Linked DNA regions of Mus musculus. The protein of the gene in region 1 interacts with the protein of each later gene in a biochemical or structural test. Links are inferred from orthologs where the notes say so. Each region holds a gene or a part of one and is shown on either strand. Other genes may lie near its edges. The genes, in order: Fgf9 and Fgfr3.

The links.
Region 2: the proteins of Fgf9 (region 1) and Fgfr3 form a complex in vitro, tested with the Homo sapiens proteins (3 studies listed by BioGRID and IntAct, with this or other methods). The link is inferred for Mus musculus from reciprocal best matches to the Homo sapiens genes FGF9 and FGFR3.

Annotation. Positions count from the first base shown.
Region 1 is NC_000080.6:58,064,997-58,081,182, forward strand, and holds the start of Fgf9 (fibroblast growth factor 9), read left to right. Parts: upstream 1-7,689; 5' UTR 7,690-8,059; coding exon 8,060-8,336; intron 8,337-10,523; exon of another isoform or gene 10,524-10,889; coding exon of another isoform or gene 10,890-10,941; intron 10,942-16,186.
Region 2 is NC_000071.6:33,722,942-33,738,382, forward strand, and holds the end of Fgfr3 (fibroblast growth factor receptor 3 isoform 1 precursor), read left to right. Parts: intron 1-830; exon of another isoform or gene 831-986; intron 987-4,705; coding exon 4,706-4,975; intron 4,976-5,250; coding exon 5,251-5,304; intron 5,305-6,739; coding exon 6,740-6,909; intron 6,910-6,994; coding exon 6,995-7,118; intron 7,119-7,202; coding exon 7,203-7,393; intron 7,394-8,339; coding exon of another isoform or gene 8,340-8,490; intron 8,491-9,175; coding exon 9,176-9,320; intron 9,321-9,780; coding exon 9,781-9,971; intron 9,972-10,312; coding exon of another isoform or gene 10,313-10,315; coding exon 10,316-10,461; intron 10,462-10,718; coding exon 10,719-10,840; intron 10,841-10,914; coding exon 10,915-11,025; intron 11,026-11,105; coding exon 11,106-11,296; intron 11,297-11,405; coding exon 11,406-11,528; intron 11,529-11,611; coding exon 11,612-11,682; intron 11,683-11,909; coding exon 11,910-12,047; intron 12,048-12,191; coding exon 12,192-12,297; intron 12,298-12,472; coding exon 12,473-12,619; 3' UTR 12,620-14,127; downstream 14,128-15,441.

The DNA.
Region 1 (16,186 bases):
GGTGTCAGGGATTCTCTGCGATTTAGGTGCCTCAGTTTACCCCAGCCACAGGCAGAGCATGGAACAAATTAATAGAGAACAAAGTACAAGACTTTAAACACCATAACCATAATAACACTGTGAAACGCATAGTAAGCTGACTATGGAGAACAAGAATACACAGGACATTTGGAAAAGCCAGAAGAAAGATTCTTTTTGTCATTCTGCGGATGGAACTGTGGATGGGACATTTTGAGGGCACTGTGCATGCTAGGCAAGCAATCTATCATAAAGTTGTACCTCCTAGTCTCAAGATTAGTATACAGAAAGGCCAGGGGTGACACTGGTTTGTGGCTATGCATATGTTCACAGGCCAGGGATCAGAAAGCCAAGACCTACACAGAAATCTCCTGCTAGCCTACCTCTCTCACCCAGGTCCCGCCTCCTCAAAGTTTCATGGCCTCCCATGGAAGCAGCACTTCCTTCCTTCTGGTAAGCAAGTCCCTGTTTATGAGGACATTTCACATCTAGACAGAAGTGTTGTTAAGCTTTTGGACCTCATTAACAGCGCTAATATAACACACAGAGTTGGAGACAAATGAAGCAGATACCAATAAGATATTCCAGTGGAGCCTGAGTGGAGATTAAGCTTAAGTTGGGGAAAACTGAGAATGGAGGAAACAAGGATGAAGACTTTTCTTTGAGGTTAACTACTGGAAGGATGTACTGGGAAGGGCAAAACTGCTAGTCTAACCAGCTCCAGACTCCACGGTCGTTATTGAACACTGCTTAGCATTTGCTGGGGTTGAGAAGTGATGTAACTGCATCATGCAGACGGTGGGCTGCCTTTTTTATGTTTTAAACATTATTAATATGCCTCAGCTAGAAATCATTTAATATAAGACCTAAATCTTGCCGTCCTTTCCTCTCCAGTACTTTTCAGTGTTTTTACCCCTGCAGAAAAGCAGGGCCTTAGTTTTGTTTCTGTTGCTGTGATTAAATACTCTGACAAAAGCAACTTAGCAGAGAAAGGGTTTATTTAGTTCACAATTCCAGGTCACAGTCCATCATAGCAAAGAAGCCAGGGCAGCAGGAACATAAAGCAACTACACACACATGCACACACACACACACACACACACACACACACACACACACACACACACAAAGAAAGAGAGAGAGAGAGAGAGAGAGAGAGAGAGAGAGAGAGAGAGAGTATCTAGTGTAGAGAGGATGCAAACACGTCCATGCTCAGTTGATAGTCTCTCTTTTGTGCAGTTTGGGACCCAAACACGGGGAACAGTGTCTCCCTCTTTTAGTCTGGGCTTTCCCACAAGAATTAACCTAATCAGGACAACCCCACATGCTAATTGAATGTAGATAATCCTTCATCAAGACTCCTTCACAGGTGATTCTGGATTGTGTCAAATTGATAATGACAACCATGGCAGGTATGGAGGAGGGATGCGCTAAGCATTACTATGGTTAGGTTGGTCTGTTAATCAGTGGCATTTTGAAGGCAGGAGATGTTGGAGTTGGGTATCTCTCCTCCCACTTAGACAGGCTGGGGGTAAAAACAGTTTCCTTGGGATCAGGAAAATGGAGCTCTGAGTGTATTCCAAAACGGTACTCTCTCTTCCAAAGCAAGTAGGAGGGATTCTTTTTCAGGTCTTCACAGTGGGAACCTGAGAAAACTTCTGGAAATAAACTTGGGGAAGGGGGGAGGGTCATCTGAGTTACAGGAAAGGGGGGAGGGTCCTCTGAGAGTGTGCCCCTGGGATTTTTTTTAAACTCTCACACTTACGCACACCGAACCTTCAGAAATTATAACTTGAAGTAACGGTACTCACTGGGCTCCAGGTGTGGCTGCTGCCGCTCTCCTCTGCTTTGGAAGCAGTGACTTGATGTCTGCCTGGCTCTCCAGCAATTTGCCTCATGACCTCAATTCTCTAAGTATTCAAGATGAGTTCTTGATTTTTCAGTCTGTTCAGCTTTTTTTCTTTGTGGACAGGAGTGATGATGTCCAGGCTCACATATCAGACTAGACATCAGACCATTATTGTTGTTATTATTATTTTAATCACTATCAGCAGCATCACCATCATCATCATCATCACTATCATCATCATCGCCATTTCTATTATAATTTAGGTTTTTGAAAAAGGGTCTCTTGGGGCTGGAGAGATGGCTCAGTGGTTAAGAACACGCTCTTCTGAACGTCCTGAGTTCAAATCCCAGCAACCACATGGTGGCTCACAACTATCTGTAATGAGATCTGATGCCCTCTTCTGGTGCATCTGAGGACAGCTACAGTATACTTACATATAATAATAAATAAAGCTTTAAAAAGAGAAAAAGAAAAAGAAAAAGAAAAAGGAAAAGAAAAAGAAAAAGAAAAAGGGTCTCCTCTAGCCAGCTGGTCTTGAACTGGCTATGTTTGGCCTTGAACTCCTGACCCCCTGCCTCCACTTCCCCAGTGCTGGGATTCCAGTCATGTGCCACCATGTCCAGCAGAGGCTGTGTGTTCCCTAATCAATTACAGGCTGCTCATAGACAGGAAAATTAGTCTTCAACTTGATATACAAAGTTTATTTTATTTTACCTTTCATTCTTTTGAATTTTGTTTCCTCCTCTGCAGCTACTTGTGTGTGTGTGTGTGTGTGTGTGTGTGTGTGTGTGTGTGTGGTTGCATTTTTCAACATTCTTTTTTTCAGGCATTTGAACTCTGGATTGCAATTAGAAAGGCTTTTACCATTCAGAGTGTAAAGGAAGGTCTCCATTGTTTCCTTTAGCACTTGTGACAATTTAAATTTACACTTGAGCGCCACTTGAGCTCTGACCTCATTTCAAGTGTGAAGGAAAACTCACGTCTTCCCCCTTCCCTTCCCTCAGAACTCACTAGTTTATTTTCCTTATTAGTTATCTTATATTAAATTCAACTATGTACTCAGATTAAAAAATGTGTAGACTATTGTTGTCCTATCTGGTTATTTATATTATAATTCTGTTTTATCTACTGGAATTTAAAGATATTTGAAATTATTGTAGGGTACTTATAGTTATAGTCAGTTAATCTCTCAATTTTTCTTGGTAAAAAATGTGTAAAGTGAATTTTCTTTTAGATTATCTTTAGCATCAATGTAGCTAATAAGAGAATTTGATACTACTCTTACCGTAATCATGCTAAGCTTTTAAATTACTCTAGGAAGGATTATATATTTTCAAAATTGAGATTGTTTCTATTTAGAAATATTATTTATATCTTTTAATTTGTTCAAAAATGTTTTGTGTCTATAGGGAGATTTAAAAACCTTTCTTCATATGCTTCTTGTGCTCTTTTATTTTTTTGTCCTTTCCCTACCTGGGGTCTATAGAATGTATCTAACTGTGTTACATACTCAGAACCACAGGCTGTTAAGTACATGTGCTAATTATTTACTCATGAATATTTATTTGGTAAAAACACACTTGCCAGATTACTTTTGGTTGTTTTTGAGGTAGGTTTTGCTGTATAGGACAGGGTGGCTTTGAACTTTCAATGCCCAGCCTCAGCTTCCTGAGGGCTGGAGTATAGGTATGTGCCATCAAATGTTCTGCAAGAGTGTGTCTCTTATAATACATGGCATTGTTGTGCCATGTAGCTCTGAGGTGTACGAACTTGACTTCACCATTTGTTAGCAATGGGGTGATGGGTGTGTTACTTAGTCTTCACAAACCACAATCTTCTCATTGGAAAAATGCAACAAAATAGCATTCACATCATGAAATCAGTTTTGAGAGTAACCACGAAGTCAGTTTTGAGAATAAAATGGCTAAAGCACAAAAGTATTTGGAATGTCTGCAGCTCTGGAAGCAAGCCAGGCCTCCCTGCAATGGTTCCATGCCTACCAAGTTGAAACTTTTCCATGAGGTCAGCCTGGGAACCCAAACCATTCCCCTTTCACCCAGTGCCATTAGTAGCTTGAAGGGTATGGGTGGGGTTGGGAGAATGGAGGGAATAGAAAATGGAGGGCTGTGACCTGGTTACACAGCCATTGTTACTGGAAGGGAATGGAAGGATTCTGTGCTGATTGGTTGTGTGTGTGTGTGTGTGTGTGTGTGTGCGCGCGCGCCCGCGCGCGCGCTCGAGTGTACATATGTACAAAGGACACACCAATTAATGGACAAAAGAAGGGCAGGTGAAGAGAACTAATGGCTGCTTCAAATGTGTGGAAGACTTATGGTCATGTTTATATATGTGTATCTAAGCCAGGGTGCACAGCAACTCATGGGGACCCACGAAGTGGGGGGAACATTGTTTACCACAGTGAGCATAGGTAGAATGTTGGATGCCATGATGCAGATCTGTGGATGCTTGGGGCATTTATTCCTTGTTATAGGCTCCCTGACATCCCATTGTTTATCCCAGACTGGGTCCATGCACTAACGTGATAGCAGAAAAGACAAATGATATCCTGATAGAAAACACAGGTAAAGGGGGAAAATGAGAAACGAGAGGATTAAGGCATTGGAGGAGAGACAGCATTAGAGAATTTGGGGATTGGGATCCACTAGAATCTACTGAATACCCCAATGTGCAGAAATGCACTAAGGGCTATACAAAGAGGAAGGATATGGCGAGGGCAGCTGGCTTGAGCGTCTATTGTCTATGCCTGCTTCATGTGCATTTTTTTTTTTCTCTTAAAGTCAGTCATCCAGGCAGGTGTAATGAAGCCAGTTAGTTAGTTGTACCATGTGTGTCTAGAAAGCAAAGCCACCATCTTGTTGTAAGTCATTGAAGAGTATTGGTAAAAACATCCTACAAGCTGAATGTGGGGAGTCTGTAGTTATGGTATAGCTCTGAAGTAATCCTGAAACCTTTTGCCATGGGAGCCCGTTGACTGCTTGGAAAGAAACGTTATAAGGTCAGGGAAACAGCAAGGTCATCGTTTCTATCACTGTGTAGGGAAAGGACCAAATGTAAGTAGCAAAGAAACCTGATGGGCAAGCAAAGAGGCAGGGAGTCAGGAAAGCAGCTTGCAGGCAGAGTTAGGGATGCAGATGAAAGGAGCTAAACTAACTGTAGTGGGAATGAGATGCGAAGGGCTGCTTGCAGTTTCTACCAACAAAAGTGCTGGGTCAGCTACTTTACTCTCTCCTACTGCTGCATCACTTTTAAAGGGACAGGATGCTTCAAGACTCAAAGGCGGAAATGATCTCTGCTCATAGGCTAAGAGGCTAAATTCAGACCGAAAAGACTTGGTTGGAGACAGTTGGTGGAAAAACTGCCTTGGAGGAAATGTCTGCGCCCTGTTCTCCATCCTTTTACAAAGTGCCTTCCTGTCTGCATTTCATTCTCTCGATCGCTTCTACCATTAAAAAAAAAAAAAAAAAAAAATCAACCTGGCACTTTGTACCCAAAGGGTACAAAGGCAGCGCCCCTGCTTAATCCACGGCCCTTGGCGACTTGGGGTGATTAATGCGAGCTACTCTAATGGTTTATGAGAAGTGTCACTTCCTCCCAGTTTCTTGTATCTGCCACTAGGCAGTTAGCGTTACAGCCTGCTCTCTAACACCGTGGATGAGACTGCTGTAAATACCACACAGCAGGGTTCTTCTGCAGTGGAAACTTGTAAGCCAGACTCAAGAAGCCAGTGCCCGGACTCCCGATGACCCCAGACTGCGGCAAAGAGGTGTGGGAGTGGACAGAGGGGAGGGTCACCTGGCCCCACTCTTTTCCCTTGGGGCCTTGCGGGAGCACGCTTTCTAATCCCGGGGGCAGGGGAAGGTCGCTCCAGGGATGGGCACCTCCAACGCCAGCGAAATCTGCAAATTCATTGCTTCCTCCGTCTTTGGGGCGAAACCCTCTGGTCGGAGTAGGGCCAGCCCCAGGGCTTCGCCGCCATAGGCTGACTTCTCCCCCAGAAAAAAGCCTTTTATTTGCTTCTCTACTGCAGGGCTCTGGTCTTTGGACTTTGCTTCCCTCTCGCACGCCGTCGGGAGCTGCGCTCAAGTCTTAGCAACTTTCACCATCTTGACCCGAGAGTCTAAGACAATGTGAACAAAGAGGAGCGTGGGGGGGGGGGGGCGGGGGGGGGCGACGACCAGGCCTTCGGGCGGGCTGCGGAGACAGTGCTTGTGTTGGGGACGCCGCGCTCAGCGGATCGGGGTGCTGGCTGGTGGCTGGGCGCGTACAGCGCCACCGGCGGCCCCTGCCCCTGGCTGCCCTGGGCAGTGCGTTTCTTTGTCCCTGCATGGGGCTGGGCTCAAAGGCTGCTGGCCTCGAGCAAAAGCCCTGGCCCGGGACCAGAGCTCCGGCTTCCAAGTCACCCGCGGCAGCGAGCGAGCCCTGAGCAGCGAACAGCGCCCGTGCCCAGCCGGCGGCTCCTGTCTGGCTCTTAGGCTATGCAGAGAGCTTCGGGCCATGGAGCAACCCTGGAACTCGAGCCTTTCACTTCCAGGCAAAGTAGAGCTCAAGGTGGCAAAGCCCGTCCTGAGTAGCTTTGTTTGGGGGCGAGAGAGAACTCATTGGAACCTTCTCCCTGAAGACGCACACTCAGATCTGGGGCGTGAGTCGAACTCAAGGACAGGGGCTGTTTTCAGGCGCCCTGGGTGCCCTTTGCTCCTAGCCGCGGGAACCTGGGGGGAGGCAGGACCCGAACAACTCAAAGATGCGAACCAGAATTCCCTTAACAAACCCGAGTGTGGGCCCACCAGTGTGTGTGTTTTGTGTGTGTGTGTGTGTGTGTGTGTGTGTGTGTGTGTGTGTGTGTGTGAGGGAGAGAGAGAGAGAGAGAGTGAGAGAGAGGGAGAGAGAGAGAGAAGAATCTGACTCACACCCAACTGTCTTACCTGCAATATTGTTTGCGCGTCTGTAAGTCTGGCTGTAGAATGAAAGAGAAACTGCCCTGTCCAACCAAGCTCCCTACACCAACCCTTCCCTCCCAGTCTATTTTATAATGCGACGCAAGGTTACAGAGTCCGCGCGAAAACTGCTTTCTCAGTTCCCCTCTGACCCTGCGTCTCTAGCAAGCTAGATTTCTTGTGGCCGAATGTCTTCGGGCTGCTGCTTCCCGTCTCTGGCACCGCGTCTCCGGCGTCTCTAAAGCCGGGTTTCCTAGGTCGTCCTCCCGGAGAAGTCCCGCGCTCTGCCCGCCTGTGCCCGGCCTGCGGCAGAGCGGCTCGAGCGTCAGGGCGGGCGCTAGGACCGGGCGGAGCGGGGCGGCCGCCGCGCTACCTTAAACCCGGCCCAATGCCGCCGCCTGCGCCACTCTGCGCGCCGGCGGGGGCTGCGCAGGAGGAGCGCTCCGCGGCCACGGCGCTGCGCGGCCCGCGCGGCGACACCTGTTCGCGGCAGCCCGGGCAGCACGCGAGCTCCGGGACGCGGTCCTCGCCCGCCGCTTGCCGCTCGCCTCACTGCAAGCCGCTGGACCTCCGCAGAGCCTCTGCAGCGTTCTGGATACTAGCTTTGGACGCCGAAAGTTTTTTCCCCCTTCTTTTTGTTATATTATCTTTATTTTTTGGAGGAGGGACTGGGAGGAGAGATTTGTCGCCGCCGCCAACGTGAGATTTTTTTTTTCCCCTTGAAGGATTCATGCTGATGTCTGCAGAGTCGGTTAGAGAGTAAAAACAGCGCATGCCTTTCTGGAGTCAGGATCCGTAAATTCTGACGTAGCCCGAGCATCTTAAAAATCCCTGTAATATCGCCCAGGCACTTACGTTGCTATGGTCATTCTGATCTCTAAGCAAATGGAGAAACTACGGATTTTTTTCCCTTATTACGGTCGGATGGGATGAAGACCTTTCTGCCTGCTGAGAGTCGAGGCTCCATATGTAGCGATGCATAGCTGTGTTGATCAATGTCAGTGTGTGAGTATAAAGTGGTGGCTTCTTAGACTATCAGTGGTTTGACCTTGAACCTGTGCCAGAGAAACAGCCGATTACTTTTATTTATGCATCGGATGGATTGAAGAAAAGAACCCTTTTTCCCTCTCTGTCTGCAACTGCGGCAAGGGAGGGGAGTTGGATATACCTCGCCTAGTGTCTCCTGGTTGATACCATCATTATTGTTTATTCTTGTGCTTAAAAGCCGAGTCCTCTGATGGCTCCCTTAGGTGAAGTTGGGAGCTATTTCGGTGTGCAGGACGCGGTACCGTTCGGGAACGTACCGGTGTTGCCGGTGGACAGTCCGGTGTTGCTAAGTGACCACCTGGGTCAGTCCGAAGCAGGGGGGCTGCCCCGGGGCCCCGCAGTCACGGACTTGGATCATTTAAAGGGGATTCTCAGGCGGAGGCAGCTGTACTGCAGGACTGGATTTCATTTAGAGATCTTCCCCAACGGTACTATCCAGGGAACCAGGAAAGACCACAGCCGCTTCGGTAGGTATGCCTTTAACCCCTCACTGTCCACGCGCTGACACGGTCAGATTATTAACTACCAGAAAGGTGGTGGTTAGGCGGGGATGCTCGAAGGGCTATATTCTCATATTCATAACCCCTGCCCCCCACATCTTTGAGTATCTTGCCAGCCCAGGGAGGGGAAAAAGCCTCCGGAATTGCAGATCTGCGTCTGGCATTGGTGCAACTTCACCCTCAGAAGGCCCTTCTTTTCTTTTTCTTCTTCTTTATTTTTCTTAAAGGAGGGTGTGTGAGTGTGAGTATGAATATAACCCAAAGCCCAAGTTTTTTCATTTGATATGTGAGACGATAAGGTTTAAGAAGTTTCTTTTTAAACGGACCCATTTCCATTAGTTTAAAGCTTTAACCACTAAGAACTTTAAACTGCATCCAGTTTCCTGTAGGTAGCTGGTATCTTGCTCAAATTAAGTTTTTTTTTCTCCCTTCCCTTTTCCTCTAATAAGCATTCTGCCTGAATTGTAAATTAAGCGTGTCGTTTATTCCCGGTGGCTGGTCTGAAATCTCTCAGGCAAAGATTGCTGGGTGATCTGGGGGAAGCACTGAAGTCGTGTTTTAGATCCGAAACATCCGGGGCAGAAGCCCCTGGGGAAACTGACCCGAGTGGGGGCGGAAATCCCACTAGGGGTGCCGGCTCTTCCATCCGTTGGTTCCCAACCTCCGCTTTTTAATTTCCACAGCGTGTAGCCTTGTGTGGGTTTCCTGAGTGGCTTTCTGGTGTGAGTGTTTGCGTGCGCTTGCAAAAGCTGCAGGCTCATTTTAAAGGGCATTCCGAAGATTTCACGTTCCGAGCAGGGTACTTGTGACTCAGCACCGAAGGCTGCAGACTCAGGTGGGGACTCTGCCCACTTTCGTGCCTCCACACACGTGCCTGGCGGGGCACCTTCAGTGGTGCAGTGCTAAGTCAGCGAACACAGTTCTGCCTGGCGTTGGGGCGGGGGCGGGGTGTGTGGAATCTAGGTTTTTCCCCTTATTTAAAAAAAAGAAAAAATAAATCCACAGTTTGGGCAACCAGACTGTTGGAAGGAGTTAACTCCTGAGTGAACCCACCTGACAACACTTAGACTAGGTCGTAAAACCAAGTCCTGTGGTGATTTTTCTTCCTCATGCCTTAATGCCAGATGTTGAACGAAATCTAAACTAGGTGTTTAGCTTCATGGTCTGTGGATGTTGCCGGGAGGTGAGGAGGGTCCAGGCCTGGATGAAGATAGTCTAGATTCTTGAGGCCCAGGGTTTCCCCCTTGGCTCACTACTGAGGCTGGGCTCAAAAGTGAACCCAGTCAATTTTCCCCACTTGACTTGTGTCCCCCTCGCTGCTTAAAAACAGAAAGTGTAGCTCATTGCTGCGATTATTCCTTCGAATGCTAACCTGATTAACCTAACTATCTTCCCACCACCCCGTAAGTAAACGCCGCTGCTGCCTGCCTGTCGCTAGGGAAGACTAAACTTTACTGGAGTGCTTGTCTAGTTGGCCACCTTAAGGACTGCTACGGAGCCGGGTTTCTGGAGCAAGCCAAGCAGCGGGAGGCCGGTGGCGGCGGGGATCGAGTGTCCTAGGGTTCAGGGCAGCCAGCTTGATGCCCGGGCAGCCCGCTTGATGCCCGGGGCAGCTGGAGCCCGGTCCTCCCGCGCTCCGGGCCGGCAGGTGCGGGCTCAGCCCCCGGCCCCGCGTCGCTCTCGTTCCGCGCGGTCCTAAGAGCGCTCGGGTTCTAACTCCCTTTCCACGGTGCTCCTGTGCGCCCCTCCGTACTGCGGGGACCGCTGGGGTTCAGGGGAGGGAGGACAGGGACCGACACCTTTCTGGTCGCGTGTCGGGTGTCCGACTTTTCTTTTTTGCCCCTGTCCAGTCCCCTTGCTTTCTCTTTGTGTGTGAGTGCGGGTCTGGTGGCGCTGACAGCCGCCGCCCGAGGAAGCGCGGTGGTGGTGTGCGGTGTGGGAACCGCTGGAGGTGCGCACCGCAGCCGGAGAGTTGGTGGCGGGGACGAGGACAGACTGGAGGTTGGAACTGAGCTTTGCGGTCTCACGCAGGGTCACCCCCTTCTTTCTGAAGCGCGCAGCAGGGTTTGGGAGAGTCCTAGGGCTCCGCTGGGTCTGGGAGGTGGGTCGGGGGCCCCTGGCCAGGCGAGGCCACAGTAGCAGGGGTGGGGGTGGGGGTGACAAAGGGCCTCGCAGGCGGTGCAGGGGGTGGCATGCTATTGTTAACCACTAGCCTAGGGAAGGCATCCGGATCTAGTCTCACAGGAGCAGAAGGCCGGCTGCACTCGGAGCGCAGGGCTGCAGGGGCGCTGCGGCCAGCCAAAGCCACCTTTATTGTGTGCATTTCCCGGTCCCAACCCGGGGTGCTTCAGAACTGGGCCCAGGTCACTGGATAGCCCTCACACTTCGGACCCCTCCACGTACCTTCGCCCCCACCTCCCAGCTTTTCTTTCTTTCTTTTTAAAAATGCAGTAGTCACCTTTAAGATAGGACGTTTGCCACGCGCACTTGATACATCAGATACTGAGTATCTGTGCTAGGATGCAAGGGCGGGGAGCGCGCGCGTTCAGGGGTCAGCGAAGAAGGACTGCAGGTACCGCCCGCCGCAGAACCCAGACTATCAAACAAAAAGCCCCAACCTCCTCACCCCGCCCCGATCCTAGAGGTTGGAGAATGTGTCGCCAAGGAAGTGACATCTCTACTTTCTGGTTCCGCACAGTGTGTGTGTGTGTGTGTGTGGGGGGGGGGGGTGTTGGTAGGAGGGAAGCGGAAGCCCCGGCCCATGCTGGGGACCCCCCAGTGCAAGTATAGCAGGTCGGCCCGGTGTCTGCCGCGGGGGGAAGGGCGCGCCTGGTTCTTGGCGGTGCCACTCACCCTCGTTCGGATGGAGCTGAGTGGGCGGCTGTGCGCAGTGGGGGTGGGGAAGGAGGGTTATTTAAGTCTTTCATCCGGTTGCAGTGAGAAGCGGGCCCCCGGGGTGACAGCAGTGCCGCGGTCTCCCGCTGCTGCTTCTGCGGCAGGTCCCAATATTAGCAACCTCTGCAGCGCCGTGCGTGTGCCGGGAGCCTCCGCGCCCTGCCTCCTCAGCCCCGCCCGCAGGGAGTTACGGCGGCGCTAGGACCTGGCGGCCCGGAGCCAGGCGGGGCGGAGGGGCTGCGGGGCGCACCTGGCGCCCGCGCCACTGCCGCTTCACCTTCCACCCCCTCCCCGCAGCCATGGCCTCCGCGCCTCCTTGGCTCCTCCCGGGGGACTTCGACTTCTCCCTGGGTTTTAGAGTAGCTGTAGGTGGGGTGGGTTTACACCTCGATTAAAATAGAAGGTGCGTTTTCTACCTGAAAAGGAAAGGCAGAAGGAAACGTGCTGGGCCAATGCTTTCTGCCGCCCCTGAGCCGCCGCAGGTGACTGCCGCTGCTGGCAAGCTCGGCGGGGCAAGGCTGCGGCCCGGGCCGGGGATGTGGGGGTGCGGGAATCTCAGCGCTGTTGGGGCTGCAGCCGGGCCGGGGAGTTGAAGGTGGGACCTTGAGGAGCCCTTTGTTTTTCCTTGGGGGTGATGGGAGCTGGGAGGAAGGGACCATGGGGTCCTGTCTCTGAGTGATGATCTGGGAAGCAAGTGTGAGTTTTTCACTTGGAAGGGCTTTCTGGCCTTGATAGCTGTTAAGACAATGAACAAAAATAAAGTAGGCAGTGCAGAGTAATGAAAAAAAGTGAACGCTGGGCCTGTGGAAGCTGAAGCAGGCCTACCTGCTGGCCTCAGGGGTGGTGACTCAAGAGGCATTAGAACCCTAGATTGACACTACTGCTGGTAAGCCATTTGAGGGGCAGGACCTGGCCTGTTAAAGGAGTAGGGTTTCAGATGCTGGTGGTACTAGGTGGGAGAAAGATACTGGCGTGATTAAAATAATAATAATAAAACAAAGTTAAACCTTATTTTCAGGGTTTTGCAGAAAAAGACAAAATTCAACTCTTTGTGCCTTGGCTTTTCAGTACTGTACAGAGAAAAGCCTTCATAATTCAGAGCGGCCTTTGAACTTACTGCAGAAAGCTTGGATATCCATTCAACTGCTACTTCCTAAGGGAACCTAGTTTTGTTCAAGCTGGTTCAGGTATTCCTAGACCCCCTGGAGCCCCAGGTGGCTAGTGTGCATAATCAGGAAGCTGTGGAAGAGAGGGGCTCAATCACCCCTTCCACCCTCTTTTGAAACAGGGTCTTAAGTAGCACAGGCTAGCCCCGAACTACTAGTCCACCTTTCCACAGCCCCCAGATGCTGGGATTACAGGCCAATATCACCATGTTCAGTTTCACCTTTGTCTTTTGACAGCCTCATGCGGTATTTCTCTGTAGAATCTGGACCGTTTCTTTTCTTCGCCCCATTTCTTCTCACTTCCTCCTAAGTCTCTTCACTTTCCTGTTTCTTCTTCAACATAGTCACCGGAGTAACCCTGATGCCCAGGCTAGCCTGGAACTGTTGAGCTAAGCTCCTTCTGCCTTAGTTTGTGGAGTTGCTGGACCACTGGCTACTCCACTGTGCTGTTGCATATTAATCTTTGATAACTGCATATATTTATACAATGAATTTTGATCATATCTACCTCTTATTTCCCTCTTCCGACTTGCCCCGGAAGCTTTCCACAGGTCCCATAACTTCATGGTGGGGGCTGTGGCTGCTGCCTCCTTTTTCTCTTTCTGAGTCTAGTTAGTCACACACACACTCTTGGAGATGGGGCTATCTAATGAAACCTGGGCAACCTATCAGCAGCCACACCCTCAAAGAAAAATGGCTCTTGCTCCATTAGCACTGTCAACTGGCCAAGTCCCCACAGGTGTGGGAGGTTACAAAGCCTTTCTCTCATCCATGCTGGGGCATTGACTGGCTTGATCCTGTGCAAGTCTTGGGCATGTAACCTTAGTTGTTACTAGTTCTTGAGTGTGACAGCCATGTTTTGTCTCACAGTGCACCTCGTAGTCTTCTGCTCTGATATTTTTTTCTACCCTCTTTTTCCAGGTGTTCTCTGAACTTTGGAGAAGGTGGCGGTGATATAGATGTCCCTCCCCTTTAGGGATGAGCATCCATAGTCACTTATTCTAAGCAATTTAATTAGGAGTCTCCCAGTTTCAGTTAACAGTTTCCCATTGCAAAAAAGAAGCCTTGGTTAGAAACCAAAGTGAGAGGAAGTACAGACATGACTATTTAAAAGGCAACTTGACAACAGGATAGTTTAGCAAAATCACCACAGCAGATTCTACCCCAGGGCCTGTGAAAGTGCCAGTCACAGGCTTTTGACTAGGTTTACAGTATCAGGTGTGAATTCTCTCCTGTGAATCATGCCTTAAGTCCAAGCAGAGAGAAGTTGGTTATTCCTATAATGGTTATACCACTATTGTGCTCGTGGGATCATCTTACCTGGCAGGTCTGTAGTAGTGTAGCATAGAGGGCGATACCATTGATAATTCTTCTCCAGTGGTCTGTATGACCCCTTTTATCATCATGAAAACTAGCCAGTAGAATAGAAGTTTCCTGGTTGGTTTGAGGTTGAATTCTCTATGTCCTGTAGCCAAATTGTAAGATTCTATGATCTCGTTATGGTGGTCAACGAAGCCGACAATACTGGCTTTGTATGTTTTTGTTGTTTGATCTGAAGAGGGCACGGGTTAGAGCTTCTGTCTGTCAGCTCTCCTATTTCCTATGGCTGGCTTTAGAGGTGAGGCACAGCATAAGTGGATTCTAGGAGGGTGGACTAACATGTGGTTAATGACACAGGGGTTAATGAGACTGGGAGGAGGGAGACCTAATCTGGGACTGTTCCAGAAGAAGTGTGTGACCATTTGCCTTATCAGCCTCTACGAGACCCTGAGTGGTCCTTATAGAAATGGTTCTTTATGGAGGAAGTGAAAGGATCTGCAACCCAATTACTATTCCTTACTGTGGCCTTTCTGAGCCTATGCCATCTAGGTTGTGTGTGCTAGGAGAGAGAGGCCAAAATGTTGGTTTTAGGCTAACCCATTATTCTCCTTTTCCTCTTTCCTTCTTTTTATTCTTCTTTTTCTTCTCTCCTTGATCTTGAAACATCCCATCTCTATAGAAGAGTCTCGCAGGTTGTCATTGATCTAGTATTGTCCATATTGGTTACTCAGCTTCACACAGGTCAACAGATTAGTGTAAGGAGTGCTCTGACCTCACGGCAGTTGGAGGCACTTGCTTGGCACCAGCTGAGGACTTGACCTGCTGGAGCACAGAACTGTAGATTTCACTGTGGACAAGGTGGTACCAGGAATGATAACGATTCCAGTCTGGATGGGGTGGGGTCTGGTTACCCTGTTGCCAGGTCTCCCTGACCTTACCACACTGGTGTTTTCTGGGTGTGGGAGAAAGACCATGACTCACACATTTTGGTGTTCTGCTTGCCCTTGAGTTATGGGGGTGACCTCATAAAAATTTGGATTTTTTTTCCTACTCTAAAGGAACTTCAGGGATATGGATAATGGTTTGAGGTGACAAAATATTTCCCCCTGGGGTCACTGGGTCCTGCTTCTTGCTGGGACACCGCCCCAGACCCATTTCAGATTTTTTTTTTAAATGATACTCCCCTGGCTTGCTCGTCTGTACCTGAACAAACCACTGAACTTGTGCCCTCTTGTTCCCTGCACATCTGCCTCCCACTGTGTGAGCTACACTGGCACCATAGCTCTGTCCATTGTTCTTCCCATTACAGCAGCCCCTTCCCCTGTTAGCTTTGTGTCTGAAAATGTTAAGTGGAATATTGCAGAAATAATTCAAAAGTTTAAACACCTTTTACTACACTATCTGATACTGGTTCTATTTTTTATTAGTTATTATTAACCCCCTACGGGGGCTAGTTTTAAATTTTGTCATGAGTGTATATGTACAGGATAAAACAGTATAAATAGGGTTTGGGGTGCTTTGGCCTCAGGCATGCAAGGAATGTCTCTCCACAGATAGTGAATGACTACCACTGAGCAGGAGGCAGGGCCTCCACTACATATCTCTTTCATATTTTTATATTTAATAGGCAGCATGATGGTTGGTTAATATAGTCCCTCAGTAATAGGTCACTGTCTAAAGAAGTGAAAGCATATGTAGTTTAACCATTTTATCAATAACTAGGAAAAGTGATAAAATATTAATATTTTCATCCCCATATTTTATAACAATAGTCTCAGAAGTTAAGTGTATAAAAATAGCAAGAAATTACAGATACAACCCCCCAAAAGTTAGAGCCAACTGCAGCAGTGTACATAATATCCAAGGAAACAGGCCTTACAGTCTGATTGACTTGAGGAAATCTCAATTGTCCTTTTGTACTATGGGGCTGAAGACATTGCAGTGCCCAGGACTGTCCTAAAGACTGAAGAAGACAGGACTTCTCATGCTTAAGTATTCTGGCTGTTACGTGACACTTACTGTAGTCATTACTACTATTCTTGCTATTCTTCAGACCAGCCAGTGAGGTAGTTTTTGTGAAATCATATTCTCTGTTGGATCTGGCTGAGCTGTTGATGGGATATTAGTTCTGAGTTGCCCTGTGTGTAGAGGAGACAGATCATCGTGTGGCCTCTCAAAGGACAGGAATGGCTTTTAGTTTTATGCCTTTCCTCATTGACCTGGTAAATTAAATTGCACAGACCTCAGAGTGGGTGAAATGTTTCCTGTATTTCATTTTATAGTGAAAGCATGAAGTAAGTCCTTATGCTAATCTCAGGATTTGTATGACCTTGGTTAGGGTGTACTTTTGTGGGGCAGGGGGGTAGCAAGAAGAGAGTCTTGTATAAGTAGTCCTTAATAACAATAAACTGTTCCAATTTTGATTATTTTGAGCCA
Region 2 (15,441 bases), on another chromosome or scaffold:
AGCCAAAGCTCAGCTTCAGGGTTTCGCATGACAAGGTGACAGCTTCAGTGCGGCTGCTCCCCTCTTATCCTGTAGGCGGCCTGAGGGGTCGGTTCCCAGGGGCGCGCACAGACTGCCCTTCAGGCCGCACGCTGGGAGATGAGGGGCGGTTGTCCCAGGATCTTGGCGCCGCCTAGGTAGTCCCGCTGGCCACCAAAGTCCGATGGGACACTTGAATGCCCTCAAACGGGGCCCGGAGGCCAAGGATGCGAAAGGGAGCCACGGTCCGCTCTGCGTCCCTTGGTTGCCCGGAGGTGCGACGCGCGCGGCCCCCGGCTGTGCCCGGTGGCAGCGTGGCAAAGCAGAGCAGCGGTCTGGCGGGAGGCCGCGCGAAGGGAGGCTTTCGCTCGGTAAGTTGTCGCCCCACCCGAGCTGAGGCCCGAACAGCCGCTCCTTTGTACCTCGGCGGCCACAAACCGCGCATTGATGGCGGCGCGGCCTCTCGGGGAGGTGCGAGTGCGGCGGGCGCAGCGGGAGGAGGCAGATGGCGGTGTGCCCCTCCCGGCGCCCCCGCGCCCCTCTCTCCAGCGGCTGCAGCCTCCTGGAACAATGTCATTTTCTTTCTTTCTTTCTTTCTTTCTTTTTTTTTATGAATGAAAGTGGGCCGGGAACTTGAATGTGCGTGTCTTTCAGCGGCGTGACAGAGGCGGTCGGGAGGTCAGCGCGCGCTTTTAGCGCCTGCTAGGACTGCCCTGCTTCCCGGGTGCCGAATGGCCCGCGAGGAGACCACATTAGCATGTGTATTCAGATGAAGATATTACTTCTTGCGTCGGGTGTCAGTGAGCTCGGGTAGGGGCGGCGGGGCGGAGCGCACACCCTCTCTGTGCCTCAGGCAGTGACGGTGGCCTCCTGGCACGACCCTGCTGCGGGAACCGAAGCTGAGCCGGGCCGCCCGGGATCGGTGGGATCGCCCGCCCCTCGCTTCTGCGTTTGAGCTTGTGAGACAGGTAGGGAATTGATAGGCCAATAAACTTAATCCGGTTCCTTAACGAGATGGGCCGGGCTGTAAAAATACAAAGACCTGGTGAAGTTTACAGAGGTCCGGGCTGGCGCTTTCCCTAGGAACATAAATTACCAAGCAGGAGCTGGCTGGGGTCAAGGGCTGTGCGGCGGGGCTAGGTACCGGCCTAACCTGGCCACCCTTGGTGAGGCAAGCCCTGCTGGTGTGCTTAGTGTGGGAGACAGTAACCCTTAGGGGATCCAGAAGTTGACCCCCAGGCCGGCTTGCAGAAGCAGGGCCTTCCACCTTCCTTGTCTCCCCCCAACCCTACCTTGCTTGCAAGGCTGGACTTTGAGCCCTGCTGGCCCTCCCAGTGGTTCATTAACCTGGGCTGATCTTAGACCCTGAAGCTTTGGCTCCTATGCTGAGCCTAGAATCCCCTTGTCCTCCAGGTCTCAGGTTTTACTTGGGACCTGGAACTCTCCCCCCACCCCCTTTTGTAGTTGGGCCTAGAAGGAAAACTAGTTACCCAGGGTGTGTTAGGGGGTAGATGATGTATTGGATAGAGGTGGCCTGCCCGGTTGAGAAATTACTGAGCTGTGAACAAAGCCACTTGGGGTTGGGGCCTGCCTCGGCTTGGGTCCTCTCCTAGAACCTAAGTCTCCTCACCTGTCCTGCTACAGAGGACTGGTAATGGCAGGGTTGTTGGGGGGATTAAACCAGATAATCCCCGGTAAGCCCTCATTAGCCCGCCCAGCCTCTGGAGTTTTCTTTCATTCTTCCTTTCTTGACTTTTATAATAAACTGTGGAAACTGGAATGTCTCAAGGTGGGATGGTGGGGAATGGGGAGGAGGAAGGCAGGCAAGAGACCCTTGGCTTCAAGGCCCCTTGGGGCAGGCACCCTCCTTTCTCTTGGGTTATTTTCCTCATACACCTGGCCATACCTCCCACACCAGCTGTGTTCACTATCAAAGCAGGTGTCACTCAGATCTGTGTCCTGGTTTTGCTCCAAAGTCCAAGTCGAGTTCTTTAGGGTGACCAACCTCAGACCAGGGTTGGATTTGATGCTGGTTTTGTAGTGCGCACGTACGTCTCAACAACAGAACCTAGGCTGTCAGCTCCTCCAGGCAGTGGATGCAGCCCTTCCTCCAGCTGGGCAGCTGTGGTCTCACTCCATTGTTTGACTCAGGGGGCTTCTGCATAGGCACCCCTCATTCCTACACCCCTTTTACAGACTTTAGACACTTAACCAGGGCTTTCTGGACCTTAGGTCTGCAAGTTGGGATTTGCACTTTGTGCTGTAGTGGATGAAACCGAGACAATCTAGGAGGCTCTACGCCCAGCACAACTTGATTGGGATACAGTGTCCCTTAGCCTGCAACAGTGAGCCTACAGTACCTAGGTCCATGTTAGTACCATATAGCAATGGGGATAGGTGCTATGGGATCCATGTGGTAGGGACATTGTCCTCTTAAAGGGCACAACAGAAGTACCAGTGCTTGCGTGCTGCGTTTGGCTCCTTTGTTGATGGGGCCTAGGGAGTTACTGGTGCACACCTGGAGGCTGATGGTGTGGGAGTTCCTCTGACCAGGGCATTGCTTCTACTGCCTCAGAATACAATATTACATATTCTGCATTGTCTCAAGCACTGTCCTTCCCTTATCCCTACCTGACTCAGGTCATAATTTCCTCTACGCCCTGTGACCCTAGAATGGTGGTTGTTGGTAGATGTTGTTACCCAAGGCCCCCAAAGTCCAGGTGTCTGGTTTCGCCTAGCTCCTAATGGACAAGATGGATGGGTGGATCAAAGGTTAGCTCTTTGAGCTGACTGAACATTTCCCCTCCAGCCATCTGCTTCTCCAAGGGTCTGGTTTGGGAGCTGCCATGTTCTTTTCCAGTCCCTCTTTGGATTCGGTTAAAGCAAATACTTGTGTGCATGGCTTGAGCGGTTGTCTTGCCCAGACCAAATTGGAACCAACTGGCTGTTGCCTTTGGGCCAAGGCCTGGACTGAGGCTCTTGACCAGCCTGTCCTTGCCCTTCTGTGGAGGGAGAACTCAAGTGGCTTCCAGCACTGGGTGGTCCCCATAGGACATGGTAGCAGGATTGGAGAACTGGAAGTCAAGACAGTTAGGCCCCTGGCTATGGGACCTCCATAGGGCAGCTTAATACTGTGGGGCTCTGAAGGACATGAGCTTTGGGGATATTTTAGGGATATTCCCTCTGTCTGTCAGAATCCTGGTGGACTTTGAGCCTGTGGGTTGTCTCTGGGATGGACAGAATTGGGCCTAAGGACTGGTGTGGCCAGAGTGGACAGCTGGGCCTTGAATCTAGGCCATGCGTCGGCGGAATGACAAGTGACATTATAGCCAGTCCAGCTGGATCTGAGGAAGGAGGTCTGCTTAGCAGGACCACCCACTCCTGTCCTGGGCCCCAAGCCCAGCCGCCCTGTGATGGGCATTGTCAGGTTCTGGCAGGGAGGCCTGGAGGAGATAGCCCAGCTGGTGGTACGTCCCTGAGGGTGAAGTCTTTGAGCCACCGCATGAGCTGGGCAGCACCTGGGCAAGGCAGAGGTGTATTATCTGTGTCCGCCTAGTGGAGGAGCTATGTTGCTTCAGTTCCTTAGCCCTCAGGGTGGGTGGCTGGCTCTACTTGGCTCACATGCCCACTCAGACAGTCCCCCTCCCCCCAGTCCTCATTTGTGAAATGGGGGTCCCATGTCCTCAGCCAACCTGTGAACTCAGGAGTCTCATAGCCCACTGACTAGAGGCCTAAGAGACCAGAATGGTGTCCATGTTTTCCTAGCTGGCTCATCTGTGAAATGGGTGTTGCAAGGCGTGGACTGTCCAAGCATCCCCTAGCTGGTATACTTTGGTCTCAAGAGGTGCACAACTCCTATGAACAGCAGCCCTAGGGGTGTATGCCAGCAAGGGCTGCTCACCCATGTTCTTGTATGACCTCATGTTGTCTTCTCTCTTTCCATTTATTTTGATTTTGTTTTTAAGACAGTAGCCAGGCTGGCCTTGAGCTTGTAGCAATTCTCCTGCTTCAGACTTCTGAGTGCATGAGCCACCATACCTAGCTTTCTCTTCCTGTTTAAAGTATGTTCTGTTCCCTGGCTCTCTATCCAAACTGGTTTAGAAGCCAAGATGAGGGTTGGGTGCAAAGAGGGTTCTGAAAGGGCTCCCTATTCTTTCTCTGAGCTTTGAGCCAAAGTCCAGGGAAGGACAGCCTGTCTCCAACCTGCTTTTGTGCCTCCCTGTGAGCTTAGGGCTGATTTTACATTTCCAAATGGTGGAAGGATCAGAGGAAGGAGAATTGGTGACTTTTTCGTGGTGTGGGGCTGAGCTCAGGGCTTCAGGCATTCTGGGTAGGTGCTGTACCACAGAGTTGTCTGAAACCCTTCTTGGCACTTTAAAGATGATTCAGGTATCAGGAGGGCTGTGCCTCTTTCAGATCATCTTGGGAAGACAGCTTCCTCCTGTAGGGCAGAGCCAGAAGCCTTAGCCCATGATTGACAGAGCTGAGATGCTGGGGCCCACTGGCTCTTACGAAAACAGTTTTCCACCCCTGGTTTGAACATTGTCTGGCAGGCCCCCAGGCTCCAGGAGCACATCCCTCACCTGCCTACATACAGCCCTTGCTTGTGTGTTTGCAAAGTGAAGTGCTGGGTCTCCAGCATGCTTCTCTGGAGACCCTGTTTCATAGTGTCCCATTTACTCCACAGAGGTTCCAGGGCCTGAACCTAGCCAGCAGGAGCAGGTGGCCTTCGGCAGTGGGGACACCGTGGAGCTGAGCTGCCATCCTCCTGGAGGTGCCCCCACAGGGCCCACGGTCTGGGCTAAGGATGGTACAGGTCTGGTGGCCTCCCACCGCATCCTGGTGGGGCCTCAGAGGCTGCAAGTGCTAAATGCCTCCCACGAAGATGCAGGGGTCTACAGCTGCCAGCACCGGCTCACTCGGCGTGTGCTGTGCCACTTCAGTGTGCGTGTAACAGGTAAGTGCTTGGTGGGTGGTGCTGCAACGTGTGTGAAACAGCTGTATAGCCAAGGAGATCAGGACACTCCTGGGCTGGGTGGCTGCAGCATCCCTGGCCTAAGATGTTGATAGCTGTTGATAGAAAGGAGGGGGTACCCCTAAGTAGGTGCCATCTGAATGAATGGCCTTGTAAAGGCAGGATCCTAAAGGTATGAGAGTGGTGGACCTCAGATATGGGAAGCAGCAGGTCTTTGGATATAGGGGTATCACAGAACCCCCACTTGGAACTTGCAGATGCTCCATCCTCAGGAGATGACGAAGATGGGGAGGACGTGGCTGAAGACACAGGTGAGATTAGAGTCTATGGCCACTGAGCTGGTCAGGGCCGGGATGCCTCTCTGGTGGTTAGAAGGGAACACTGCTACAGGTGGGTAGACCAGAGGACAGTGCTCCAGGAGCAGGGAGGAGGCAGGGCTGGTCTGCAGGGACATTGCTATTGACTCTAGTAGGACGGGGCACCACAGGGGTGAGGATAGCCAGGGATGCAGCTCAGATTGTTGCTGAGGAACAATAGATCCAGGGATGAAGGGCACTGGTGGTTGTTGGTTCAGGCCGGCAGGAGGGGACAGTGCTTGTGTGTGCTGAGGTGTACATTGTGAAGAGGACGTGTGTGTGTGTGTGTGTGTGTGTGTGTGTGTGTCTATGCAGACTGAGTACTTGGGCCATTTGGAGACTTCTGGGGAAGAGTGGACAAGGTGTCCTCCAGTGGAATAAAAAAAAAATTGGTGGGAAAACAGGACTGAGTCTCTGGTGTGTGGGGGCAAGGAGAGTGGGTACAGGGGCTTGTGTGAGATTTTAGAGTGGAATCGACACAGGAACCTAGCACTGACGCCAACAGAGGCTCCTGTCCTGGGGAGTCATTTGGCTTCTCATTTCCCTTTCCCCTTTGGCTACCAGGTTGTTGAGAGCAAAATTTCTAAGCCAGTTTTCCCCTCCCCTGGCTCCTGCACCAGCCATGTTACCAGTGGCCTTGCCCTGAGTTTGTGTCCACTTCTGCCTCCCTGGTTTTCCCAGGCTGCATCTAGTGCTTACACACCCCACGTGGGCTTCGGCTCTGAGGTGACTAAAGGGTCATCTTCTGGACCTTGCCTGGGCATGGGAAGCATTGGCTCACTGCCGTCGCTGAGTGTGCCAAGCTAATGGCCGCCCTGGGAGCCTGGGAGGGCAGCTCAGCATGGAGGGTTCCCTCACCAGCGTATGCAGACGGTTCTCTCCCCCTGTGCTGTGGCTCCTCCACCCACAGATGCACATGGTCCTATGGTAGAGTGTAGTGAGGTCACTGCAGAAGGGGCCTGCCTCCCTAGTCTGTCCTGGATCCTTGCTCTGTCCCTCAGCTGTTTCAGGAGTCCCAGCAGGGTGGCTTCCTCCACCCAGCCCAGAGGAACCAGAGCGCTCAGTGGGGGGAAAGCGCGACCTAAAGGAAGCAGGCCAGGCCCTGGGTACTGCAGAGGCTGGCTTGGGGTTTGCAGACTGGTGGGATGACCTGGCCTAGGCCTTCTAGGATCTGCATCCTACTGGGATCTGGGGACCTCCACTTGTGGGCCTGCACCCAAGGGTGAGGAGGAGATAAATTCAGATCTGAGAGTAGGGCAACTGGTAATGCAGTGTCCAGGCTCAGGCAAAGCAAAGGACTCTGAATCCAGAAGGGTAAACAGGCTAGAGGCAGGCAGGGGAGGTTCTGGAAGGCACTGGTTACAGCTGTTATGGGTACTTCTGCCATCAGGGGCTCCTTATTGGACTCGCCCGGAGCGAATGGATAAGAAACTGCTGGCTGTGCCAGCCGCAAACACTGTCCGCTTCCGCTGCCCAGCTGCTGGCAACCCTACCCCCTCCATCTCCTGGCTGAAGAATGGCAAAGAATTCCGAGGGGAGCATCGCATTGGGGGCATCAAGGTAGGTCTGGGAAAGAAAGGGGCCTGGGGGCAGGGGCTGGAGACAAGGGATAGTCTGCATCTACTCACAGACTAACTACCTGCAGCTCCGGCACCAGCAGTGGAGCTTGGTCATGGAAAGTGTGGTACCCTCCGATCGTGGCAACTATACCTGTGTAGTTGAGAACAAGTTTGGCAGCATCCGGCAGACATACACACTGGATGTGCTGGGTGAGGGCCAGGCCGGGTGGCTAAGGCAAGGGGCATCTCTGGGTCCCTTGGCCCTACTGGCCCTGACCTGACTGCCTCTTGCAGAGCGCTCCCCACACCGGCCCATCCTGCAGGCTGGGCTGCCGGCCAACCAGACAGCCATTCTAGGCAGTGACGTGGAGTTCCACTGCAAGGTGTACAGCGATGCACAGCCACACATCCAGTGGCTGAAGCACGTGGAAGTGAACGGCAGCAAGGTGGGCCCTGACGGCACGCCCTACGTCACTGTACTCAAGGTAGGCTCTATCCCCGGCTGGTGGCTGGCAGGGTGGGTGGATCAGCTGGGTCAGCCCTGGCCTTGGCCCATATGTCCCTCTTGGCTGAAGGATATGTTGGGATTTACCAAGGTATTGGAACTTCTGAGAAGGGGCAGCTTAGTTCCAGTGCATGTCACCTGCTCTGAGCTCTAGGCAGGCTCTGTGTTACTTGTGCCCTGCTGTGGGACTTGTCTGCTCCGAGGACTGAGCCTGCAGAAGTTTTCTCTTGGGTAACAGTTATGGTGGCTCAGGGCAGGAGGATGACTGCTGAGTTAGTACCCTCTGGACCCCAGGGGACTGGCTAGACACTCTCCAGCTGGCCCGGATTGGCTGGTGTCATCTGCTTGCATTTAGCACTGGCTCTGTCCTGCCCCTCCCTCTGCCTGTAGCAAGTTCCATACCCGAGTTCAGGACTTTGCGATACTGGAAGCCCAAAGAAAACAGCTGTTGAGAGACAAGGAGGTCTGGTTGGGGAAAGGAATAGGGATTGTTTGGAACAGGAACCCTGGCTGTTGAGAAAGAGGCCACTGGGGTCCTGTCTGATGCGTCTCACACTGTGGGCGTGGATGTTCACGAGAATAAGCTAGTTGCCCTAAAAAGATCCCTGGGGTGAGAGTTTAGAGGCTGTGGGTTACAGGTTTTCTCTCTCTCTCTTCCCCTTCCCCCAACCCCCGCCTCCTCCGTTCTCTGTGTGTGCGTGTATGTAAGCGTGTATGTGTACCTGTGGTGACAGACATGGAGAGAAGGCCTCTTTCTGAAACCACGCCCACCACTGCCATGACGTGCCTCCTCTCCAGGCGGCTTTCCAGGCTTTGCTGCCCAGCCCATCTTTGGGAATCTCCCTTGCCCTGCCTCATCCTCACATCCTTCCGTCCTTCCGGAGCTGGCTCGGGGTGTGCCTGAGCCCAGTCTCTTGTCCCCGCAGTCCTGGATCAGTGAGAATGTGGAGGCAGACGCACGCCTCCGCCTGGCCAATGTGTCGGAGCGGGACGGGGGCGAGTACCTCTGTCGAGCCACCAATTTCATAGGCGTGGCTGAGAAGGCCTTTTGGCTGCGTGTTCACGGGCCCCAAGCAGGTAACGACTCTGTCCCATGCCTGCCTGGCACGCTGAGCTCCAGCTTCAATGCCCCCAGCCGTGCACCTGCCTGCATGCCCTGCACGAACTGCCCTGCTTGACCCTGCCTGTGACTCCAACTCTACTTGTGATGCCTCAACAATACTGGTAGCCCCCAGTTACCACTGACTGACTGTTTGCTTCAGCGCCCCCTCCCCAAAGGCCTGTGCTGTTCTCTTGCATCCCCCACTTGCATACTCAGAAGATCTGTAGAGCCTATTAGGGGCCACGTCCTGCGTTGTGTGTGAGCATCGACCTTACACCCATCTCCAGCTGGCTGATGCCTTCTGGCTTCCTGTCCATCCATCTGTCTGGCCCATCTTTTCGTCTGCATCTCTCCTGTTTCTGCACTAATTCTGCATGCTGCCTTTGTGTGGCACCGTGCTGCCCACCTGCCTGTTGCTCACCTTGGGACAGAGGACTCGCCACTGGTGGAGGGACTGGCTTCAGGCTCGGTTGCCTCAGTGCAGGAGGCAGAGGGCCCTGGGCCTCTGTGGCTGTGGCAGGGCCATGGTGGTGGCCGAAGATGTGGTGGTGGCGGCGGCGTTTTCCTTGCAGCCTGGCTGGATCATCTCCATGTGAACTGCTATGGTACCCAAAGGGAGGTGCTGGCACTCGCCTATCGCGCTCTGTTCTCTCTTTGTAGACTGCAGGCGCTAACACCACCGACAAGGAGCTAGAGGTTCTGTCCTTGCACAATGTCACCTTTGAGGACGCGGGGGAGTACACCTGCCTGGCGGGCAATTCTATTGGGTTTTCCCATCACTCTGCGTGGCTGGTGGTGCTGCCAGGTACTGGCTTCTGCTGCTGCTCATGCCGCACCTGTCCTCTTAGGGTGCTGTCTCAGGACATGCCAAAGCTGCCAGGGACTTCAGGGGGCCCATCCTGTGAAACTCACCCAGGCTTTGTGCTTGGTGTGGAAACATGAATCTGCCCTGCCTGTCTTGGTCCTGCAAGGGCCTCTTCTCTAGCAGGGCCCCCCATAGTCCTGATCTGAGGCTCTGGCATTTCCTGGGTGCCTGGGTAGCGGTGTGGGTGCTTCTGGCTCTGCTGGGTTTCTCTCCTGGGCGTGTCCCCTGCTGGCTCTCAGATGTGTTTTGATTATACTACAAGGCGAGTGGGGGGGCCATCAGCCCCTCTTCTCCAAGTATCCCAGGTCCCTTCCCTCCCCCACTGGGGCCTGTGGTTCCGGCCGGGCCGGGGGAAAGCTTGAAAAGGCTGGATGAGGCCCCAAAATTTGTATCTTTGCAGCTGAGGAGGAGCTGATGGAAACTGATGAGGCTGGCAGCGTGTACGCAGGCGTCCTCAGCTACGGGGTGGTCTTCTTCCTCTTCATCCTGGTGGTGGCAGCTGTGATACTCTGCCGCCTGCGCAGTCCCCCAAAGAAGGGCTTGGGCTCGCCCACCGTGCACAAGGTCTCTCGCTTCCCGCTTAAGCGACAGGTAACAGAAAGTAGATACCAGGTTTTGAGCTCCCTGTCCTGCCTCGTGTCTCCTAGAGTCCCAGCAGGGCCTGGGGCCTGCCCGGGACATAGTTTCTGTGGTTGGGTGGGCTGATGCCTCCTTATCTCCATATGGAGCTCAGGTTTTCTCTGAGGTGCAAAACATTTTTAGGAGTCTTAAGTCACCACTGTATAGAAGTCCGAGCAGCTAGCCCTTTTCTTGGCTCCACACCTTGCCTCATAGGCTTGACCTTGCCATCCTGGAGGCTCTACCACCCCACCCCTTTTACAATGCCCAGCCCACCCACGTTGTATGGTACCAATTTGTCCTGATGACCCAAGCAGGTGTCCTTGGAATCTAACTCCTCTATGAACTCCAACACACCCCTTGTCCGGATTGCCCGGCTGTCCTCAGGAGAAGGTCCTGTTCTGGCCAATGTTTCTGAACTTGAGCTGCCTGCTGACCCCAAGTGGGAGCTATCCAGGACCCGGTCAGTGGTGGTGAGGGACAGTATGTACTTGGTGGGGTTTAGTATATACCTGGTGGGGGTTCTGCGGTTGGGGGCTAGGTAGCTACTAGGCAGGGCCTTGTTGGAGGTATCCCCGAGATACTCCAGGGTGAGGTTTGAGGGGTCATTCTTTGTCTTCATGAGCAAATGCCCCTAGGGTTTCTGAGATACAGTGGTACATGACCCATGAGGGCTGGGGGTGCTGGGCACACACTCACTGCCTCTGTTTCCATGGTCAGGCTGACACTTGGTAAGCCTCTTGGAGAAGGCTGCTTTGGACAGGTGGTCATGGCAGAAGCTATTGGCATCGACAAGGACCGTACTGCCAAGCCTGTCACCGTGGCCGTGAAGATGCTGAAAGGTGAGGAGGGAGGGAAGTAGAGGGGCCTTTGAGGGCTGTGGGGCTGTCAGCTGACACCTCTGTTCCCGGCACAGATGATGCGACTGACAAGGACCTGTCGGACCTGGTATCTGAGATGGAGATGATGAAAATGATTGGCAAGCACAAGAACATCATTAACCTGCTGGGGGCGTGCACACAGGGTGGTAGGTCAGGTGGTTGGTGGGCCCACTGGTGGATGGCGCTCTGGAGATTGACAGCATCTCTAAGGTGCCTGTGCTTCCAGGGCCCCTGTATGTGCTGGTGGAGTACGCAGCCAAGGGCAATCTCCGGGAGTTCCTTCGGGCGCGGCGGCCTCCAGGCATGGACTACTCCTTTGATGCCTGCAGGCTGCCAGAGGAACAGCTCACCTGCAAGGATCTAGTGTCCTGTGCCTACCAGGTGGCACGGGGCATGGAATACTTGGCTTCTCAGAAGGTGGGCAGAGACAGGGACCAGGCCAGGTGGAGCCTCTCTGAGTGGAAGACCGGGTGATCGTTTGCCTGAGCTAGGGAATGGTCATCTCAGGTTCCTTTTGTCTCTTCAGTGTATTCACAGAGACTTGGCTGCCAGAAACGTCCTGGTGACCGAGGACAATGTGATGAAGATTGCGGACTTTGGCCTGGCTCGAGATGTGCACAACCTGGACTACTACAAGAAGACCACAAATGTGAGCCCTGGTCCTGCATGGTGGGGGTGAAGGGTCCCTCCAGGAGGCCCCACCCGAGAGCCAACACCTCTCCCTCTGCCCAGGGCCGGCTACCTGTGAAGTGGATGGCACCAGAGGCCCTTTTTGACCGAGTCTACACCCACCAGAGTGATGTGTATGTGTCCCTACATAGGATGGGGGTAGGGAGATCTGAAGAGAGAAGAGATACAAATTGCACTTTTGCAGTCTTCAGGGTCCTGGTCCGCTCATTGGGCCACCAGCACAGCCCTGGCTTCTCTTTATCCTAGTGCCCTGCTTTGCCCATCAGTGGTATGTCCTGGTACAGGGCTGCTGCAGTAACAGGCCAGGGGTAACAGGCCTTCTATCCTCAATTCCCTGCAGTTGGTCTTTTGGTGTCCTCCTCTGGGAGATCTTTACGCTGGGGGGCTCACCGTATCCTGGCATCCCAGTGGAAGAGCTTTTCAAGCTGTTGAAAGAGGGCCACCGCATGGACAAGCCAGCCAGCTGCACACATGACCTGTGAGCCTTGTTCATTCCTCTACAGTCCAGTCCCTGGGGTGGCAGGATTCCTACCAGGGCCCTTGGAATGTGTAGGAGACTGGTGGCCTGGAGGGAGGTTGGGGTGGGCAGGAGGCCAGGGAGCCATAGCTATACTTGCCGCAGGTACATGATCATGCGGGAATGTTGGCATGCGGTGCCTTCACAGAGGCCCACCTTCAAGCAGTTGGTAGAGGATTTAGACCGCATCCTCACTGTGACATCAACCGACGTAAGTGTCCCTCAGTCCTGCCCCCTCTGTGGCTGCCTTGCTTATTTTAAGTGTTGCTCTTTGGAGCTCCAGTGGCGGGGCTGGCCTTTAGGGGGCATAGCCTGAACACAGATGGCGTGGGATAAAAGGGGGTGAATGCAAAGGGACAGTCCTGACAACCATGTCCACCAAACAGGAGTACTTGGACCTCTCCGTGCCGTTTGAGCAGTACTCGCCAGGTGGCCAGGACACGCCTAGCTCCAGCTCGTCCGGAGATGACTCGGTGTTCACCCATGACCTGCTACCCCCAGGTCCACCCAGTAACGGGGGACCTCGGACGTGAAGGGCCAACAGTCCCACAGACCAAGCCCCAGGCAATGTTTACGCGGACCCTAGCCCGCCCTGCTACTGCTGGTGTGCAGTGGACCCTAGCCAGCCCAGTGCAATGGGCCAACAGTAGACAAGACTTCCTGCGTGTTTATCCTTGGCTCCTGGGTGCAGAGGCCCCTTGGGAACATGCACTGCTGTAGAGTAATCTCCTGACTGGCCAGGGCCAGGAGCACCAAACAAGAATGTAAGAGGCCCACCCTGTGCAACCCTGGGGTTCTGGCCCTCTCATTTCCCACTGCTACCTTCCAGGGACCATTGTGGAGAGGGCTAGACTCCATGTCCAGAGTGGGCCTTGGCCTTCTTGGTGCCCCAAGCTGAGCCTACAGGGAGGCTCTGCTCTGTGTGGCAAACCTCTCTCCTACATGGCACCTTGTGCCTGGGGGTGTCATAGCTCGACATCTCCAGGCTGCCTGCTTTCCACCCTGCCCCTCAGAGACAAATTACGGGTACCTGAAGGGGGGGCATAATGTCTATCAGAAAGGTTTATTCCAGAGGAAAATGTACATTTATATAAATAGATGTTGTGTATGATATAAATATATACATACATATATATAAGAATATCTATATGGAAAAAGGCAAAGTTGAGGCCCAAGGGAGCAAGATACTCCATGGGTCTCACTAGGAAACTGGCAAGAGCAGGCTGAGAAGCAAGGGGCTTTTCTGGCACGGCAGTTTTGTTTGTACTGGACCTGTATATTTGTAAAGCTATTTATCAACCCCCAGAGCGCCAGTCCCCGACCCCAGGTTCATAGCGTTTAGTCCCAGGGTATTGCAGCCATCTTAAGTTGTAACTTATTAACAGCGGAAGAGGTTCATGCTGGATTTAGGGAATTGCTGAGAACGTGCGTCTGGCCTCCACCAGGCTGGCCGTGGCCCCTTGGCGCTTGAATGGCTCTCCTAGTCAGAGCTGGCTCCAGGGAGCATTTTCTGTTGCCTTTGGCCCTCTTTTGTGGGGGATTAGATTTATATAGGAACTTTCTTTAGGAGATGTTTAAAAATTTTAAGGTGAACTGGTATTTTTCATACAGATTATTCTAATTGCTATGTATTCCAGGCAGGAGCCTGTGCCCAGGGAAGGGCTGGCCCTGCAAGAAGGTTCAGATGTTAATAGTTATCTGTTACAAGTTTATCTATCTATAATTTATTGAGTTTTTACAAGTTGTTTTGCTGTAGGCTTAACACTTCCTATGCAGTGCTTCTAGACTTTTATAGCCTAGACTGCTACCTTTCAAAGCTTGGGAGACAGTGGTGAATGCAATTTTGTTACTTTTGTACTGTCACTGGGCCCTAGGCTTGGGTGGCTGTCCCTTGCCTGTCAACCAGCAGGGTCAGGACAGTGGCTCAGGGTGACTTTCTTGGGGCCTAGCACATGGTTTGTCAGCCCACACTGGCAGATGTGGTTTTGTTAACACAACCAACTTACTTTCCAAAAAATAAAGAGATAACTGGTTCCATGAGTGCCTCGATTTCTGTTCTGAGACGGGTACAGCTGTGTCCTTGTTGCCTGTGGGGACAGGTGGGGAGGTGGGATAATAGCACCTGGGGAATGAGCAGCCTCTGGCTGGTCCCTGGAAGAAGGTACTGGTCCCAGGCTCCAAGGGACCTTGCTTTTCTTTCTCAGGGCAAGGACAGCTGGACTGCGGGGTGCCTTTCTGTGGCCTAAAGTGGCAGATTGGTCCGGGTTATCAGAGTCTAGAGGTGCCAAGGACAGGATTCAAGCAAGTTGTGTCCATAGGAGGGGACTGTGGATATGTATGTGGAGGAAGTGTTTTGGGTCTCTTCGGTCCCCTGGCTGTCCTGACAGGGAAGGGATCTCATGAGGACAGAAGGTGCTTAATTATATTTGAAAGTTCTCTGGGGAAAAGGCAGGTAGCCAAACCCCCTGGTTTAAGCAATCTGCATTGGGCCAGGCAATCTCTGAGTTTAAGGCAAAGCTGGTCTACACAATGAGTCCCAGGACAACATAGAACTTAGGGTTTCTTTCCTATATCCATTTTGTCTGTCATACTTTCTAACCTTGGGAGATGACCTGGGGACTGAATAAATGTCCATTCTAGGTTCCCTTCTTAGGATCAGGCCCACCTTATAGGTGAGGGCATTTTTTTTTTTTTTTTTAGTAAGTCAAGATGGCTGGAGTCTTGGTTCTAGACTGAAATAGGAGCTTGAGGATCTTCAGGTGAGGTGTACTGGGTTTTAGGGGAAACTATAGGCCTTGGCACTGTTGGCTACTCACAGGAACTTCTTGAAGGGCACCAGATAGTTTCAGGGACTCAGAGCCACACAGACACATGATGATAGTGACCAGGCAGAAGGCAGCTAAAGGATCTGACTAAAGCCTACAGAACAGCGTGTGTGCATATACGAGCACGTGTGTGCAAGTATGTGTAGGGGCGTGGCACCAGGAGGATATATTCTTTTTTTTAGGAGGATGCATTTTTATCCCTGAAACAAGCTCAATTACCCAAGAGAGCTGTGTGCCAGCCTGTAGCGCCCTCTAGTGCCATGCTGAGCATAGCTTTGTATGGTAATCTGGACGCCCTTTTCAAGTCCAGGGCTCTTGTTAGATCTAGGGAAAGCTAGCACCAAGGGGTTGGTCCACAGGGACAGGAGTGGTCCTGAGAGAGTCAGGGGCCAGGTCAGGCTGCTGCACCACCAGGGTTTCCTGGGCGGCCACTGCATAGGGAGGATATAGTATGTGTGGCTCTATGTCATCAAACACCTGCTGCTGTCTAGTCTTCTCTGGAGGACTCTGCTCCACTGCCTTGCCTTTTC